Linked DNA regions of Macaca mulatta. The protein of the gene in region 1 interacts with the protein of each later gene in a pairwise test. Links are inferred from orthologs where the notes say so. Each region holds a gene or a part of one and is shown in the gene's direction. Other genes may lie near its edges. The genes, in order: MOAP1 and THOC1.

Region 1 (9,382 bases):
TACTAAAAAATACAAAAATTAGCCGGGCATGGTGGCGGGTGCCTGTAATCCCAGCTACTTGGGAGGCTGAGGCAGGAGAATAGTGTGAACCTGGGAGGCGGAGGTTGCAGTGAGCTGAGATCGCACTACTGTACACCAGCCTGGGTGACAGAGCGAGACTCCGTCTCAAAATAAATAAATAAATAAATAAATAAATAAATAAATAAATAAATAAATAAAATACAGCTGGGCATGGTGGCTCATGCCTGTAATCCCAGGCCTTTGGGAGGCTGACACAGGCGGATTACCTTGGGTGAGGAGTTTGAGAACAGCCTGGCCAACATGCTGTAACCCTCTCTACTAAAATAACAGAAATTAGCCAGGCGTAGGGGCAGTCACCTGTAATCCCAGCTACTCAGGAGGCTGAGGCAAGAGAATCTCTTAAACCGGGGAGGTAGAGGTTGCAGTAAGCCAAAGGTTTCAGTGAGCCGAGAATGCACCACTGCACTCCATCCTGGGTGACAGAGCAAGGCTCCGTCTCAAAAAAAATAATAATTTTAATTAATTAATTAATAACCTGCTTATTTTCATTGAACACATTGTTTCCATCTTCTATTTGTAAGTTATTTCTAGCCTTTCAACATTTACCATTTAGTCTCTTCCCAAATAGTTTTCTAAACTAGTAGCAATGGGGCACATGTTCTCAGGGCCTCCTGAGGCTGTGTCACAAGCCATGGAAAAAAAAATTTTTTTAATTAAAAATAGCTGGGCATGGGAGCCACGCCAGTAATCCTAGCACTTAGGGAGTGCTAGAGGGGAGGAAAGCTTGAGCCCAGGAGTTCGAGACCTGCCTGGGCAACGTGGCGAGACCTCATTCTCCACAAAAAAGAAAAATATAAAAAATAAAACCATTAAAAGCACTAATAATAATTTAGCTAGCCATTACCAAGAGGAAGAACAAATTCTGCTTATCAAGACAGCCATTACCTTAATACTTTTTTTAGCAATGTCTCATAAGCTGACAGCAAGTATAAACAGCTGGCTTAGCTGCAATAGAATGAATCGGTGTTTTAAGTGTGAAGAATTTAAAGCAAGCCAAGTAATTGTATAAAATTTAAATTTTATGATCATGTCTGGACCTTTTTACACTTAACACAATGGAAATGTTCATATTCATTTTTTTTCCCCAAAGGAAAAATTTCTGAATCATCACTATGTTGCACAGTAGAATAGAAATATGAATTCAGGTACTCAGTCAAGTTTCTAAAGAATGCAAATAACAGACACGATTTAACTTCCAAAATCTGAAGTCATCAACATGATTTTGTAGTACTCTATCTCAGGTTTTACCTAAAAATTCATTATTATTCAGATAAAGATAGCCCCCTGATCACATGTTTTTAAAAAGCCTCTGCCCCACCACAACTTCCTGAGATCTGTGAAGAAACTGCAGTCTTGTGATCAGACTCCATATAGGACTGGCAGTTTTGTAATCGTAGGGAAAAAACGGTGACTGATTTTATGTGTCAATCAGTTGTAGTCTGCTGATCTGATTAGAAGCCTTGACAAATGCCTGGTGGCGATTGCAAATAACTGCCAAGCATATAGGGATGATACAGTAGCCCACTGTTTTGGGATCAGCTCTTGTACAAGAGTATAGGAACAAAAACATCTGTAAGTAAGGTACCAGAAAAATAATTGTCCACAACCAAAAAGGCAAGGAGAGTAATCGAGCTTTCAAGGAGTGTGTCCATGTGGTTCCTTCAAGGGGCTCCTCAGGGTGCTGTTGAATGTGTTCCAAGGCCAGCCTATTGTAAGTCTCATTGATTTCAAAAACATAGTAAAATGCTGCTGCACTTGCTAACAGATACAATCCCACTCCAATCCATCCCATCCGCTGACGGAAATTCATCATTCTCCATGCTCTGTGCCTTCAAATTAAAAAAGAAAATACAATTAGGGTCTTGTAGTACTGTCACCGCAACTACTCCAAATGTACTTGCTTTATCTCCAAGAATTCTAGGTCGGGCGCGGTGGCTCACAACTGTAATCCCAGCACTTTGGGAGGCCGAGGCGGGCGAATCACGAGGTCAGGAGATTGAGACCATCCTGGCTAACATGGTGAAACCCTTCTCTACTAAAAATACAAAAAATTAGCTGGGCGTGGTGGCGGGCGCCTGTAGTCCCAGGTACTCGGGAGGCTGAGGCAGGAGAATGGCGTGAACCCGGGAGGCAGAGCTTGCAGTGAGCCGAAATCGCGCCACTGCACTCCAGCCTGGACGACAGAGCGAGACTCCGTCTCAAAAAAATAAAATTAAATTCGAAAGCATCCCACTAACACACTTAAGATTTAAAATAATTAAACGCCTATTAAGAAATGTAAAACTTACAGGTTTTGTGTAATAGTTACAATAAAAAAACAAAAACAAAATAACCATTGATTTCAGTATATACTGAGTTCTGCTTTTTAACGGGAATCTCAGAATAAATCACTGCATCCTACTTAAACAGGTCCATAATACCCGCCCTCCAGAAACTGGAATTAAACTAGTTTCCCACAGCACTTTTCACTTTGACAGGTGAAACACTTTCGGCTTTACAGTACTGCTTCAGATGTGAACGCGGGGTGCTACAAGTCAAGCCCCCAAGTTAAGACAGTAACTCCTAAGCACTTACAGTGGTCCCGAAAATCTTCCTGTTCCCACGGCAAGCGTTAAAGAGTCATTCAGCTCTGAATAATCGGGTGGCTTTGGCATTTCAGAGAAAGCCACCATAAAATAAATCCCCTGGGTCACCCGGCTAGGAGAAAGGTGAGCGCCGCCAGCCTGGAGCACCAGCTACTAGTGATTAAGAACGGCGTGACTGCGGCGGGTCACGCGCGGCCCGGCCCCCGTCGCCGCCGCCGGAGACCCGCTATGGGGACCTGACCCGGCCGGGAGGCGTCCCCGCCAAAAGGGCCTCCAGGCGGCCGGCCCCGCCCCCTGCCGCGCTGCAGCGCCGGCACGCAGCGACCAGGGTTGTGCTGACTGCGCCAGGCCCGGGCCTCGCAGCCCTGCAGCGTCGCGAGCCCAGCGCCAGTCAGCGGCCGCCGGCAGAGCCTGCCTGCAAAGCTAAGGTCCCGGATCTCACCTTCCTGTCCCGGGTGGCCAGCCCGCCCGCCGTCCCGGATGCCGCCGCAGTCCGGGCTTCCGGCTCGGGCCGGAAGCGCGCGCGCCCCGCCCCCCAGAGGCCCGCCCCCCCTCATGACGTCAGATCGCCCCCGCCCGCCGCGCAGCTTCCCCCAGCGAGACCCAAACAGCTGGAATCCGCGCTGGAGCTGGGGGTCTAGCTGCGCGGGTGGCGGCACGTCCCTTCAGGTGGGCGGCTGTCTGGGTCTGGCGACTCAGCGCTCCTCAGCCTTTCCTCCCGGTGCCCGATCGCGACTGTCATCGCCCGATCACTTCTTGCTACGGAGAGCATCACAAGCACCTGGAGGACCGGCATCAGTCGCTTTGGCCCCTGAGTGTCCGTCCGAGCCTAGGGGAGCCCGCCCTCCCGCACCTCGTCGGGGCCCGGCCAGGCACCTCCGCCGCCGGCGCACGGACGCGGGCACCGAGCACTAGATTACGGTGAGTGGAAGCTGGCCCGGAGAGGCCCTGCAGGCCCGACATCCGCCAGGCACCAGGGCTGGGAGGGGTGAGGGGCGCGCGCCGCAGTGCGGCGGCCCTGGAGTCGCCGCGGGGGGCAGGGCGCGCGGGGCTTGGGGCCTGCACGCGTGCCTTGGACGTTGGCACCCTTAGCTAACCTGTCTGCTGTGTTTTGCAGGCTGCTGGACCTCGGCACGTTGACGAGATTTCCCTGAGGTACCGCGGAGGATTACTTTGAATTGCAGTGGCCGCCTGTGGTCTGGAATATTTAGAACTTAAGTGTATTATTTCGGGCACCATGACTTTGAGGCTTTTGGAAGACTGGTGCAGGGGGATGGACATGAACCCTCGGAAAGCGCTGTTGATTGCCGGCATCTCCCAGAGCTGCAGTGTGGCAGAAATCGAGGAGGCTCTGCAGGCTGGTTTAGCTCCCTTGGGGGAGTACAGACTGCTTGGAAGGATGTTCAGGAGGGATGAGAACAGGAAAGTAGCCTTAGTAGGTCTTACTGCGGAGACTAGTCACGCACTGGTCCCTAAGGAGATACCGGGAAAAGGGGGTATCTGGAGAGTGATCTTTAAGCCCCCTGACTCTGATAATACATTTTTAAGCAGATTAAATGAATTTTTAGCGGGAGAGGGCATGACAGTGGGTGAGTTGACCAGAGCTCTTGCACATGAAAATGGCTCCTTAGACCTAGAGCAGGGCATGATCCCAGAAATGTGGGCCCCTATGTTGGCACAGGCATTAGAGGCTCTTCAGCCTGCCCTGCAATGCTTGAAGTATAAAAAGCTGAGAGTGTTCTCGGGCAGGGAGCCTCCAGAACCAGGAGAAGAAGAATTTGGACGCTGGATGTTTCATACTACTCAGATGATAAAGGCGTGGCAGGTGCCAGATGTAGAGAAGAGAAGGCGATTGCTAGAGAGCCTTCGAGGCCCAGCACTTGATGTTATTCGTGTCCTCAAGATAAACAATCCTTTAATTACTGTCGATGAATGCCTGCAGGCTCTTGAGGAGGTATTTGGGGTTACAGATAATCCTAGAGAGTTGCAGGTCAAATATCTAACCACTTATCAGAAGGATGAGGAAAAGTTGTCGGCTTATGTACTAAGGCTGGAGCCTTTGTTACAGAAGCTGGTACAGAGAGGAGCAATTGAGAGAGATGCTGTGAATCAGGCCCGCCTAGACCAAGTCATTGCTGGCGCAGTCCACAAAACAATTCGCAGAGAGCTTAATCTGCCAGAGGATGGCCCAGCCCCTGGTTTCTTGCAGTTACTGGTACTAATAAAGGATTACGAGGCAGCTGAGGAGGAGGAGGCCCTTCTCCAGGAAGTATTAGAAGGGCATTTCACCTGAGTCTCAGGGAATCACGAAGGGATATGGCAATGAGTAGAGCATGAAGGTAGAACAGTCTATATACTCTTTGACACATACAATCCCTACCTTGTGCTGCCAAGTAACTCATTTTTGTGCAATTCTCAGTATAAGCCCTTTGTCGTTTCTATGCCTATTTAAAGTCTCCTAAAGGTGTAATTGACTAGGAAGGATGTAGTTCTACACTGCTGTTTACCTATTTAAATTCATCCTTGTGAATATCTTTGTTGTTGTTGTAGGGACAGAGTCTCGTGCTCACCCAGGCTGGAGTGCAGTGGCGCGATCTTGGCTCACTGCACCCTCCACCTCCCGGGTTTAAGCTATTCTCCTGCCTCAGTCTCCCGAGTAGCTGGGACTACTCGTGCCACCACGCCCAGCTAAGTTTTGCATTTTCAGTAGAGACAGGGTTTCACCATGTTGGCCAGGCTAATTTCGAACTCCTGACCTCGAGTGATCCACCTGCGTCAGCCTCCGAAAGTGCTGGGATTACAGGTGTGAGCCACTGCGCCCGGCCTCATCCCTGTGAATTTCTTATTGTACAAAAGTTCTTTCACTACCTGTGTGCAGTGCTCTGAGAGGACAGACAAGGCTCGGGTGTATATGCTGACCAGATCTCATTGAAATATCAGCTTGTTTGGTACGAGGCACAAGTGTAGCATGTCACATGTGATCATGTTGGATCATTGACAGTTTTTAGGTATGTATTGACCTACATTTATGATGAAGATCCTGAGTGGAGGTTAAGATACTAAGTTATTTTCTGTATGAATCAAAATTATATTGATTCTGTGCAATCAAAACAAAAGGCGGAATAGAATGCTGAGATTGGTTAAGTTTCAATGACCATCTTTACAGATTTCTGCTATGTGTCATCAAAACATCTAGTTCTGAGTAACATTTTCACGATTGTTATAAAATTATAGATGTGAGCTTCTAAAATAAAGGAATGGTAATAAAATGACGTTGTCTGTTTTGTTTATATCAAGGTTCCAGGAGAGATTTCATTTGAATAAAGAGTTCCCAAAGCATGAATCTGCAAACCACTGGACCTACACAGACTTAGTTCCTTGAACTCTTTCCTCTTGGTGCTCAGGGGTAGGAAACTGTTTTCTAAGTGAAGAGAGCTTCCACTGAAGCAGTAAAACAATGGGGTGAAACAAGACAGTGCACAAATTAGTGCAAGTAGTGCAGATGTATCAGTGTGTCAAATTTGGAGGGAGAAGGAAAGAAATGAACATTGCATGCTGCTGCTTGGAAGATTGGACTAAAAGTTTCTCCGTTTACTCTCTTATTTAGTCCTCTTGGAAAAAGGTTGAACAGTATAATCTTAGCACTTTGAGAGGCTGAGGCAGGAAGATTGCTTGAACCCAGGAGTTGGAGACCAGCCTGGGTAATGTAAAAAAAAATTTTTTTAACTAGCCGGGCATGGTGGTGTGCACCTGCAGTCCCTGCTACTCAGGAGGCTGAAGCTGGAGGACTGCTTGAGGCCAGGAGGTCAAGGCTGCAGCATGCCATGATCATACCACTGCACTCCAACCCGGGTGACAGAGCAAGACCCTGTCTTAAAAAAAAAAAAAAAAAAAAAAAAAAATCCTGCAATATAGGAAAACTCAGTTTCACACTTGTGGAAATGGGCACAAAAGTTTAGAAATTTGGTGTGGTGGCTCACACCTGTAATCCCAGCACTTTGGGAGGCTGAGGCGGGCAGATCACGAGGTCAGGAGATCGAGACCATCCTGGCTAACACGGTGAAACCCCGTCTCTACTAAAAATACAAAAAAATTAGCCAGGCGTGGTGGTGGGCGCCTGTAGTCCCAGCTACTCGGGAGGCTGAGGCAGGAGAATCTCTTGGACCTGGGAGGCGGAGGTTGCAGTGAGCCAAGATCGTGCCACTGCACTCCAGCCTGGGCAAAGCGAGACTCCGTCTCAAAAAAAAAAAAAAAAGAAAAAAAAAAGAAATTCAGTCAAGGTGAAACATCCTTGGGCCAGAATTCTATCCTCTGATCCTCTGTAGTAAGTGTAGTGAGTGATTAGGTCAGAATTCTCTCCTCTTTCTTTCTGCAAGGCCCATATTCTTTCTACTGCCAAGAAAGAGAAGCAATCATCAGGGTATCTATACCCATTAGCCTCACAAGGGAAGCAGGGCAGGCATTGGCTCCATTTCATAAATGTCCATCTTATGTGCATTGCAGGGGAGTACAGTTGACCCTTGAATAACTTGGGGCTTCAGGGAGCCAGCCCACTGCACAATCTGTACATAAGTTTTGATTCCTCAAAAACGTAACTATTATTACTGACTGGAAGCCTTACCAATAACAGAAAGTTGATTAACATATTTTGTATGTTATTTGTATTATATACTATATTAAAGTAAGCTAAAGAAAAAATGTTCTTAAAATTATATGACTGGGTGCAGTGGTTCACACCTGCAATCCCAGCACTTTGGGAGGTCAAGGCAGGTGGATCACTTAAGTTCAGGAGTTTGAGACCAGCCTGGCCAACATGGTGAAACCCACACACACCTGTAACCCCAGCTACTTGGGAAATGAGGCGGGAGAATCGCTTGAACCTGGGAGGCAGAGGTTGCAGTGAGCTGAGATTGCACCACTGCACTCCAGCCTGGGCAACAGAGCGAGACTGTGTCTCAAAAAAAAAAAAATGGGGGAAGAAAATTGTAAGAGAAACTATATTTACAATTCATTAAAGAAGTGCATCATCATAAAGGTCTTCATCCTGGTTGTCATCTTCACATTGAGCAGGCTGAGGGAGAAAAGGAGGGTTGGTCTTGCTGTCTCAGTGGTGGCAGAGACGGAAGAAAATCTGTGGATAAGTGGACCTGTGTAGTTCAAGCTCCTGTTGCTCAAGAGTCAGCTACACGTTATTCTGGATCAGAAACCTACTGCAAATTAGACACTTAGCAGTGGAGAATATGAGAATCTATAAGACCTGGGCAGGTGGCATGGGTTATCTTTTACCTTAAAAAAAAAAAAAAAAGCATGGTTAACAATTGCTGAAAGGTAGGATAAAGTATTTCATAAAGTACCCAAATTTGGAATGTGCACCTTGGTTTTAGATTCAAAGGCATGGTATAATGTTTGTGTTATGACTAAATGTCATGATTAGGTTCCCATAAATTCTTCCACGATGGAAAGATAAATATTAGATGATATATGGACTCTGAATAGATTAGAAGGTGTAATTCTGATCTTGTTTATATTTGTGTAGTCATTTGGAGTGTACAAGGCATTGTGACACGGGCCGCTCACTTGCCCCTTCAGTAGTGGGAAGCAGACATGGCGAATGTGTGCACCCATGGGTGTTAATACAGGTTGCACCTCTCCATATGTGAGGCACTGAGCTGAGGGCTTAAGACTGTGTCATTAGATTTAGACTACAATCCCTGCCCTGGAGGTCTGTTCAGGGTCAGTGATGATAGCTGGTGTTGAACAGCAGATACTGAGCACCAGTGAACACATTTGGTCCTACAATGAGCTCAGTCCTTGATTTTTCCTGTTTTACAGATGAGACTGAGAAGCTAAGAAACTTGCCCAGGGTTTCACAGCTAGTGAGCGGCAGGCTCAGACATTTCCAGAGTTCCATCTTAATGTATTCTATGCTACCTTATTCAGAAACCTGCTATTTCCCCATTTGACAGATGAGAAGCTTGAGGATCAGAGAGATTCAATGCCAGGGGTAAGGGCTCATAGTCTGATTCCAGAAAGCTGTTCTTAAGGTGTTCTGACATGTATCTGGTAAACACTACATAATTTTTGTTTAGGTTATGTTTATGGAATCACATAAAATAAAATATACTCCCCTTAAATAGCTATGTTTCAACTGGGCGTGGTGGCTCACGCTGTAATCCCAGCACTTTGGGAGGCCAAGGCGGGCAGATCACCTGAGGTCAGGAGTTTGAGACCAGCCTGGCCAACATGGTGAAACCCTGTCTCTACTAAAAATAGAAAAATTAGCTGGGCGTGGTGGTGGGCACCTGTAATCCCAGCTACTGGGGAAGCTGAGGCAGGAGAATTGCTTGAACCCAAGAGGTGGAGGTTACAGTGAACTGAGTTTGTGCCACTGTACTCCGGCCTAGGTGACAGAGTGAGCCTCCACCTCAAAAAAGAAAGAAAGAAAGAAAAAAAAAAGAAACCATCACAGATCACAGACTAGAGATTAAGGAAAGAGGTGGTGAACTAAATGTAATGTGTCCTGGAAGGGATCTTGGAACAGATAAAGGGCATGAGTGGAAAAGTGGGATCCAAGTATAGTTAGGAGGTTAGAGGTAACAGAAATGTGTCAATGTTAGTTTCCTGGAGGTGCCAAATGTACCATGGAAATGTAAAGTGTTAACAATAGGAGAAAGTAGGTGAGAATTCAGGAGCTCTCTGCGCTCTTTATAACTTAT
Region 2 (8,693 bases), on another chromosome or scaffold:
TCATGTGAAAACGTTTTAGCTATTATTTCTCTTGCTATTGGGGGAGTAACTGAAGGTAAGTATGGTTCTGTTTTGTTTTGTTTAAAGTAGTCTTGGACATGACATGCTTTATTTAAAACGTCTTCTCCCCATACTTCTCCACATCTGATTTTGTTTATTCTTCAAGTTCTACCTGACTCCCAGCTTTGCCAAGAAGTCCCAATTGAATTAGTTCACTCTTATTTCTCATCTCTATTATGCAGTGCACATTTTGGCACTTGCTTTGTCCTCCAGTTGTTTTGTTCATTCAGTAAATCTTTATTGAGCATCTACTATGTGCCTGGTACTGAGCTAGGACCTGGAGATTCAATGGTGAATAAAACATATTCCCCTGCTTATGTGGAGCTAATGGAAGAAACAGATGTATGCATACCTTACTTTGGTGTAAGTACTATGGTCGAAGTGGGAATGAAGTGTAGTTAGAGGGAATAGAGCCAACATGTCTCTCTAAACTTCAGTCTAAAGGAATCAGGAGAGATTTTAGAAAAGAACATGAGAACTAGAATGTGAAGTATGAAGAATTTGTCAGACATACTAAGAAGGGAGTAGCTAGAGAATTGTGTAGAGCAGGAGGAGGAGAGGACAATGAGAATGATGAGGAAAGAAGCTGGTTAGGTCCATTTATAAAGGGCATTAGGTGCCATACTAAAGAGCAGCTGCAGATGAATGATTCCATTTGAAGTGACTGCTGGCAGGAAAACTGGGCAGGGGCCTGTTAAAATGGCTGTATGCGATAGCTTTAGAAGACTGGGTAAACAGTGCACATAGTACACAGTGCCTGACACATAATGGGAGCTCATTAAATACTTGCAGAAAGAAGAAATTAAAAATTAATTTATCAGCATTCTTCTTTAACCATTTGGTTAAAATACTCATTTGATTAATTCAGATAATGTATATGAAAACTCCTTTTTAATCTGTAAAGCATTATTCACATTATGTGTTATTTTGATGCTTCTATTAAAAACTGGCACACACCTCCCAGTATAGGGGCAAACTATTTTGTGAACTTAAGTTCATAAATTCACGTTGTTAAACTTTTATACAAGTTGCCTAATCATTCATTCATTCATTAGGCATTGTTAGATAAGTTCCACAATGCAATGTTCCTGTCTAGTTTCTGTCAATTTTCAGTGTGTCCTTAGTTCATTGATTAACTTTATACATTACTCTTGTACAGCTGGTGATGTTTTTAATGAAGAAGTTGTACAAAGTCTAGTCTATACTTGGAACTTTTGAGAAGGATAAGGACTTAAGAGCTTAAACTGTAAAGGTATAAATGCATTTTTATTTTAGGGAGAATTTTTGTTTTTGAGACAGATTATAATTGTTTGCTTATGTGACATGTTTTTAAATTATCCATAAATATATTTTGTTAAATTCAATTTGGCCGATATTTATTGAGCTTCTGTTTGGTGTGAGACACTACTGGTTAAAGCGTATGAAAATGCCTAACCTTAAAAAGCTCATAGTCTACATTCAAAGGTCACTGGTTAGGATGTGCCAAATGCTACAGTGTATTTATGTAGAGTGTGTTTCAAAAGCATAGATGAAGTAGCCTGCTTCAAGATACCAGAGTTATTTAGATGAGCAGACATTCACTCTATGCTTAGAAAGATGGAGTTGAAATTTACCATGTGGTAAAAAGGAGGAAGAGTATTTACACAGAAAACAACATTGTAAACAAAACCATGGAAGGATGAACATGTCATGGTGTTTGGGAGCTGCGGAGTGGGAACTAGGGAGGGATGTCTGTGGCCCAGGTAAGGGTAGAGAGAGATTGGTGTGGAAGCTGGGACACAGGTTGTGAAAGCTCTTGGGGGAATCACACTGTAACCCAGTGGTTCCCAGACTTGCTGGCTCATCAGAACCACCAGTGAATCTATTTTTAGATGAGATTCCCAAACCTTGCTTAGTTCTACTGACTCAGAATTTTGGTAGTAGAATCTAGAAAAAGTTCTCTAATTATTTAATGTGAGTTAACTTATTCCAGGCTGTACTGCAGCTAAGGGCAGAGAGTATGCTTCTCAAATCTCTTGGATGTGCAGGGTATATAATATTGAATCTAAGTATTGTTCGGGACTTTCGAGGTCACCTAGTCCCGTCTCATCTCTGGCCTAGACCGCTTCCCTGCTGTAACATCCCTGATGGGTGGTCATTCAGCCTCTGCTGAATCATGCTCATTAGTGGAGGTCACTGTTTGAGTCCTGTTAGACAAGTGTGGTTATTGGTGTGTTCCCTTGTATTGAGTTGAAATCTGCTGTTTTATTCCACCACTGCTTTTCGGCAATATCCCTCACATCACATTCCAGATATGATCTTACTAGTGCAGAGTACAGCTGGAAAGATTTCTTCCTTTTTCTAGATATAGTGTATTAATGCACTGTTTTGGACTTAGATCACCCTAGATATTTTTCCCCATATACCATGCCTAAGTAACTACTTTTCTTAAACACTTATGAGTGTTAGTAAGTACCCATTGCCTTAAAATAGAAGGAAGGATGAGTAGGGATATAAAAGTATTTCTAGGTAGTCTGAATAGACTAAATAGACCTTTTCTTAAGAATATCTTAATTTTGTTGTTCTTTAAACAGTAACTTTCTACTTTTCCATTCTTTCCCCTGAAACAATACTGTTATTTTAAATGTTAAATCATAGTTAATATCAAACCTTGTTATTTTTTGAAGATAATCTTTTCAAATCACAAAGACAATTTAGCAACACTACAAAACATTTGGAAATGAGAAAAAGGGAAAACAGTACTCATAATTCCTCTACTTTTAAAAACCATTCATCTGGTATAATGGTTTTAGTTTCTATAGTCTTTTAAGAATTTTTTTATTGTCATAATCATATGTACATACAATTTTGAATCCTGCCTTTTTCACTTAGCATTATATCCTAAGCATTTTTCCAAGTTATTATAGTCGTTATAACCATCGTTTTTAATTGGCTGCATTATATTCTTTTGAATAGCTTAGTGGTGAAGAAAACAGACTGTGGAGCCAGACTGCCTGGGTTCGTATCCCAGCTCTGCCACTTACTGGCTCTGTGATCTTGGGCAAGTTATTTAACCTCTCTGTGTCTCAATTTTCCCATTCTATAAAATGCAAATAATGATATGCTCTACTTCATAGGGTTATAAGGATTAAATGTGTTAGTATATGTAAAGTACTTAGTGTGCCTGACATATAGTAAATGCTCTAGATCTTGTCAAGAATTATTGTCATCATTACTGAGTGCACATATCAAAAATTACTTAAATATGTCCTGTTTGGGGACTTGTAGGCTGCTTCCACTTCTTGTCCTTTTAAAACTTTGTTATGAGTAACAAAGTGTACCTTTTAAGATATTCTTCAGTATTATTTTTCATAGGCTGTTTTACTCTAATGTTTTTTTAAACTTTTAAACTGGCTTGTGCTCCACTTGAAGGTATTTGTACCGCATCTACACCTTTTGTATTGTTGGGAGATGTTTTGGATTGTCTTCCTTTGGATCAGTGTGACACAATATTCACTTTTGTGGAAAAAAATGTTGCTACTTGGAAATCAGTAAGTGCCTTAGTTTCTTTTCCTGCTAACTTTGTATTTCTGTAGATTCAGAGTTCTGAGGGTAGATTTAAAAAAAGAAATTATTTGTAGTATTGCTGATCGCCAACAAGTTTGTGCCTATGAAAAAATTATATACTGCTCTCTTGGGAGAGCCAAGTAAAAACCATGTGTGGAGAAAAACTTGAAATACAAAATTTGATTTAATTTGAGTAATAAAAACTAACTTGAAAATTCACACTTTCACATGTTAAAAACAGTATCATGTTTTCTTATCTTATATCTGAAAATATTTTCATTTCATTGAAAATGTTATTTACTTTAAAAAAGTGTAAGTGGCATAGTAGATTCTCAGTGCATGTTAGTGTTCTTTAATATTTTACTTCCTGCAACTTATTGAAGAATGTGTAACAAGTTCAGAAGAAGAGTGATAATTTCCATCTTAATTTCAGAATACATTCTATTCTGCTGGGAAAAATTACTTACTACGTATGTGCAATGGTAAGTAATTGAGTGATTAAATGATAGCTTTTTAAAATGTAAATATGCCCAGAAAAACATGTGGTTGAATTAAATACCAGTGATAACATTTTAAAAATAGATTAGGTATTTGTATTTTTAACTAACAATCGGATTTATTAGAACTCATTCACTTTAAGCTGTTTTTGTTCTGGGCATAAACTTAATGAAAGTCAGAAACATGTAGTAAAGTTTGTCTTTTTCATGTCATGTTGAACTTGTTTTGTTCCTAATTTCTAGTACTTTTTTGTGGCAGTGGTTTCTGCCCCCATTTTAAGAACTACTGCTTTAGGAAAATACTCTCGACAAACTGGTTTAGAAACTTTTAGGTATGGTTGTAATAAACATAGAATTATCTTTTCTGTGTAACGTTCATTTTCATATATCATTAGATCTCCTAAGAAGATTGTCTAAATCCCAGAATACAGTCTTCTGTGGACGGATTCAGCTCTTTTTGGCCAGGCTTTTCCCACTGTCTGAGAAATCAGGTAAGCTTTTATGCGTTAAATGAGTTTTCTGCAGGAAAATCTTTTCCAGTTTTTAATAGATTAAAATCTGTCATGATAATGAGAAAAATGGTTCTAAAAAGTTGAAAGACATCATAGAAATTGTCACTTTATTTTCTTTTACTTATAAATAGTTATAGCAGTCCTAGTATATAATACAGGTAATCTTGAAACAAAGTCATGGATTCTTTTAAGTTCAAAGCTTATTAACGTACAGTTGAATCATACTGAAACATGTAGATATAAACCGTCACATCTATATTTCGTAATGTATGCCTATTTTTGTGTTTCCATTTTCTCTCTCAGTCACGACTACTTAGCTATATAGACTTCCTTTCATTTCTCTTTTTTAACAGATTTTTATTGTGAAATATAATGCTTATATAGAAAAGTACATAAAGCAAATAATAATGAAACAAATACTGTATAACCACTCTGTAGCTCCTGAAATGGGACATTGCTTATTCTCCAGAGCCTTCCCCCTCCCCAGTCGGTTCAGATATGCGAGATTTTAATATCTCATTGCTTCAGTTCTCTTTTTCTTAATGCTGGGCTAATATACCACCTATTTTATATGTTGTGAGGATTAAATGAATTAAAACACGTGAAGAGCTTACAGTAGTGCCTGAGTATGGTTAGTATACACATATGTCTTTCCTAGCTCTGGTCTCTGAGAGGGCCGCAGAAGTAGTGATACTCCAGTAGCAATGAGCACATCTTCTCAAATGTAGATCATGAGGTCAGGAGATCGAGACCATCCTGGCTAACCCGGTGAAACCCCGTCTCTACTAAAAAATACAAAAAACTAGCCAGGCGAGGTGGCGGGCGCCTGTAGTCCCAGCTACTTGGGAGGCTGAGGCAGGAGAATGGCGTAAACCCGGGAGGCGGAGCTTGCAGTGAGCTGAGATCCGGCCACTGCACTCCAGCCTGGGCGACAGAGCGAGACTCCGTCTCAGGAAAGAAAGAAAAAAAAATCACTATGGTAGCTATAGCCTCATGAAATGTATTTCTTAGATAACAGGACTTGAAAGTTGAAATAACCCTTTGATTCATTGGCTACAAAATGGATGATGTATTAGCAGGCATGAAAACAACATTAATTTCCTTGTGCATCTCCATCAAAGCTCTTGGGTGACCAGGTGCATTGTGAATAAGCAATAACATTGTGAAAGGAGATCTTTTTTTTTCTGAGCAGTAAGTCTCAACAGTGGCCTTAAAATGTTCAGTAAACCATGCTATAAACAGATGTGCTGTCATCAGGGTTTGTCTTTATGGATGGAGCCCAAGGCAGAGTAGATTTAGCATAATTCTCAGGAGCCCCAGGATTTTCAGAATGGTAAATGAACATTGGCTTCAACTTAAAGTCACCAGCTGCGTTAGCCTTAACAAGAAGGTCAGCCTGTTCCTTGAAGGCAGGCAGTGACTTCTCTCTAGCTATGAAAGTCCTGGACGGCATCTTTCAATATCAGAATGTTTCATCTGCATTGAAAAATCTGTTAAGTGTAGACGCCTTCATCAATGTTCTTAGCTAGATCTTCTGATAACTTACTGCAGCTTCTCCATTGGTAGTTGCTGCTTCACCTTGTACTGTTATGTTACAGAGAGGGCTTTTTTCTTTAAACCTCTTAAACCAATTTCTGCTAGCTTCATACTTTTCTTCTGTGGTCCTCACCTCTCAGCCTTCACAGAATTAAAGAGAGTTAAAGCTTTTCTCTGGCTAGTTTGCTTGTCTATCCAGACCACTTAGCCTTTCTCTGTATCAGCAGTAAGGCTGTTTTGCTTTCTTATCATTCATATGTTCACTGGAGTAGCACTTTTAACTTCCCTCAAGAACTTTATCTTTGCATTCACAACTTGGCTGTTAAGCACAAGAGAAATTTCAGCCTGTCTTGGCTTTTGATATGCTTTAATTACTAAGCTTAATCATTTCTAGGTTTTTATTTAAAGTGAGAGATGTGAGACTCTTCCCTTTACTTGACACTTAGAGTCCATTGTAGGATTCTTAGTTGGCCTAAATTCAATATTGTCTTGTCTCAGGGAATAAGGAGACCCAAGGGGAGAGAGAGAGTCATGGGAACAGTTGGTCAGTGAAGCAGTCAGAACACACACAGCATTTATTGATTAAATTTGCCATCTTACCAGCTTGGGCAACATGGCGAAAACCCATCTCTACTAAAAATACGAATAAATTTAGCCAAGCATGGTGGTGCTTGCCTGTAGTCCCAGCTACTTTGGAGGCTGAAGTGGGAGGATCATCTGAGCTTGGGAAGCTGAGCCTGCAGTGAGCCATGATCATGCCACTGCACTGCAGCCTGGGTGACAGGAGTGAGTCGCTGTCCAAAAAAGAAGGAAAAAAGTTTACTGTCTTAGATGGGTGCAGTTTGTGGCAAAAAACAAATCTGTGGCAAAAAACAATGACAATGCTAACCTCAAAGATCACTGATCACAGATCATCGTAACAGATATGATAATGAAAAAGTTTGAAATATTGTGAGAATTACCAAAATGTGACAGAGGAAGTGAGCATATGCTGTTGGAAAAATGGTGCTGATAGACTTGTATGGTACAGGGTTGCCATTCAATTTATTTAAAAAACAAGAAACTGTGAAGAGCAACAAAACAAGGTATGCCCATACTCCAAAGGTACTTTTAAGAAATGAAGTTTTGAAAGGATTTGAAAATCAAGTGTGTTCATTTTGACTGCTCTTTAATTATGGATTTAGCATTTTGTAGTTTTGATTATGACACAAGTTACATTCGTACGTAAGTTTAGGTGTCACTGGACTTGCTTTGAATCTTCTTTGGTTTTTTTTTTTACTAGGTCTTAACTTACAGAGTCAGTTTAATCTGGAAAATGTCACTGTTTTCAATACCAATGAGCAGGAAAGCACCCTGGGTCAGAAGGTGAGGCTGATTTGAAACCTTCTCAGATAACATATTTGCAGGTTTGTTATTAAGATAACTTATGTGGGGCCAGGCACAGTGGCTCACACTTGTAATCCCAGCACTTTGGGAGGCTGAGATGGGCAGATCACTTGAGCATAAGAGTTCAAGACCAGCCTGGGCAACATGGCAAATCCCCATTTCTACAAAAGAAGTACAATTAGCAGAGCATACCTGAGAGGCTGAGGTGGGAGAATCACCTGAGCCCAGGGAGGTCAAGCTGCAGTGAGCCTTGATCATGCCACTATACTCCAGCCTGGGTGACAGAGGGAGGCCCTGCCTCAAAAAAAAAAAAAAAAAAAAAAAAAAAAATTCATATAAACGAGCCTATAAGTCATCAAAAATTTAAAAACTTTTGACTTTATTTCCAACTTACAGAAATAATGTTTTGTATGTAAAAAATTCAAGCAGTGTTTAAAATAGACTGTACAGTTATTCTGTAATCCAAGGTAGACTATGGTAGATTGTGGCATAGCTTTCTATTAAAGTGGATTAACGAAGTAGCTGTACTTTCTGTTTTGATAGTGTTAATCATAAGGTAGATTATAGAATAGATGTACTTTCTGTTTTAAACGTTGGGTTATTTTTTGCAGAATATGTATTTTTTCTATAAATTTTTATTATTTCTGTAACCACTCATAGCATTCTGTGTCTCACCATACCAGGACTTTTTGGGTATATGTACAAACATGTTGTTTTTCTCCAAAATGAGGTCATTCATACTATTCTGAAATTCACTTTCTTCCTTTAAGATTTAGATTTATCTTCATTTTTAAATGGCCCTTGGTAAATGGATATATCAGAGTGGATATATCACATTTCTCTGCTTGTGGGCATTTAGATTATGTCTGATAGTGAAAAAAAAGTTAGTGTCCAGGTAGTGTATAATATTGCATCAGTCTGCATCATCTACATCAATTATGCAATTGTCTTTTTAGGATAAATTCCAGTAAGTAAAATTACTGGGTTAAAATATATGCATATTTCATATTTCAATAGCTATTTCCTGGTTACTTCTCGAAGAGGTTATACCAATTTATACAGCCACCAGTGGCACATGGAGAATGCCTTCCCTTTTTCCCCACAGCCTCACCCCAACAGTGTGAATTATCAATTTTTTTAAAATATTGGCTTAAGT

What was found.
Region 2: the proteins of MOAP1 (region 1) and THOC1 interact in binary tests that used the Homo sapiens proteins (3 or more experiments, as listed by UniProt). The two-hybrid records come from large-scale screens. The link is inferred for Macaca mulatta from reciprocal best matches to the Homo sapiens genes MOAP1 and THOC1.

Annotation. Positions count from the first base shown.
Region 1 is NC_133412.1:166,431,044-166,440,425, reverse strand, and holds MOAP1 (modulator of apoptosis 1), read left to right. Parts: upstream 1-3,271; 5' UTR 3,272-3,587; intron 3,588-3,783; 5' UTR 3,784-3,903; coding exon 3,904-4,959; 3' UTR 4,960-5,935; downstream 5,936-9,382. Other genes in the region: LYSET (lysosomal enzyme trafficking factor), read right to left, coding at 1,499-1,910, 2,656-2,753.
Region 2 is NC_133423.1:71,585,939-71,594,631, reverse strand, and holds part of THOC1 (THO complex subunit 1), read left to right. Parts: coding exon 1-55; intron 56-3,471; coding exon 3,472-3,590; intron 3,591-4,039; coding exon 4,040-4,088; intron 4,089-4,498; coding exon 4,499-4,594; intron 4,595-7,433; coding exon 7,434-7,516; intron 7,517-8,693. UniProt on the Homo sapiens protein: Component of the THO subcomplex of the TREX complex which is thought to couple mRNA transcription, processing and nuclear export, and which specifically associates with spliced mRNA and not with unspliced pre-mRNA.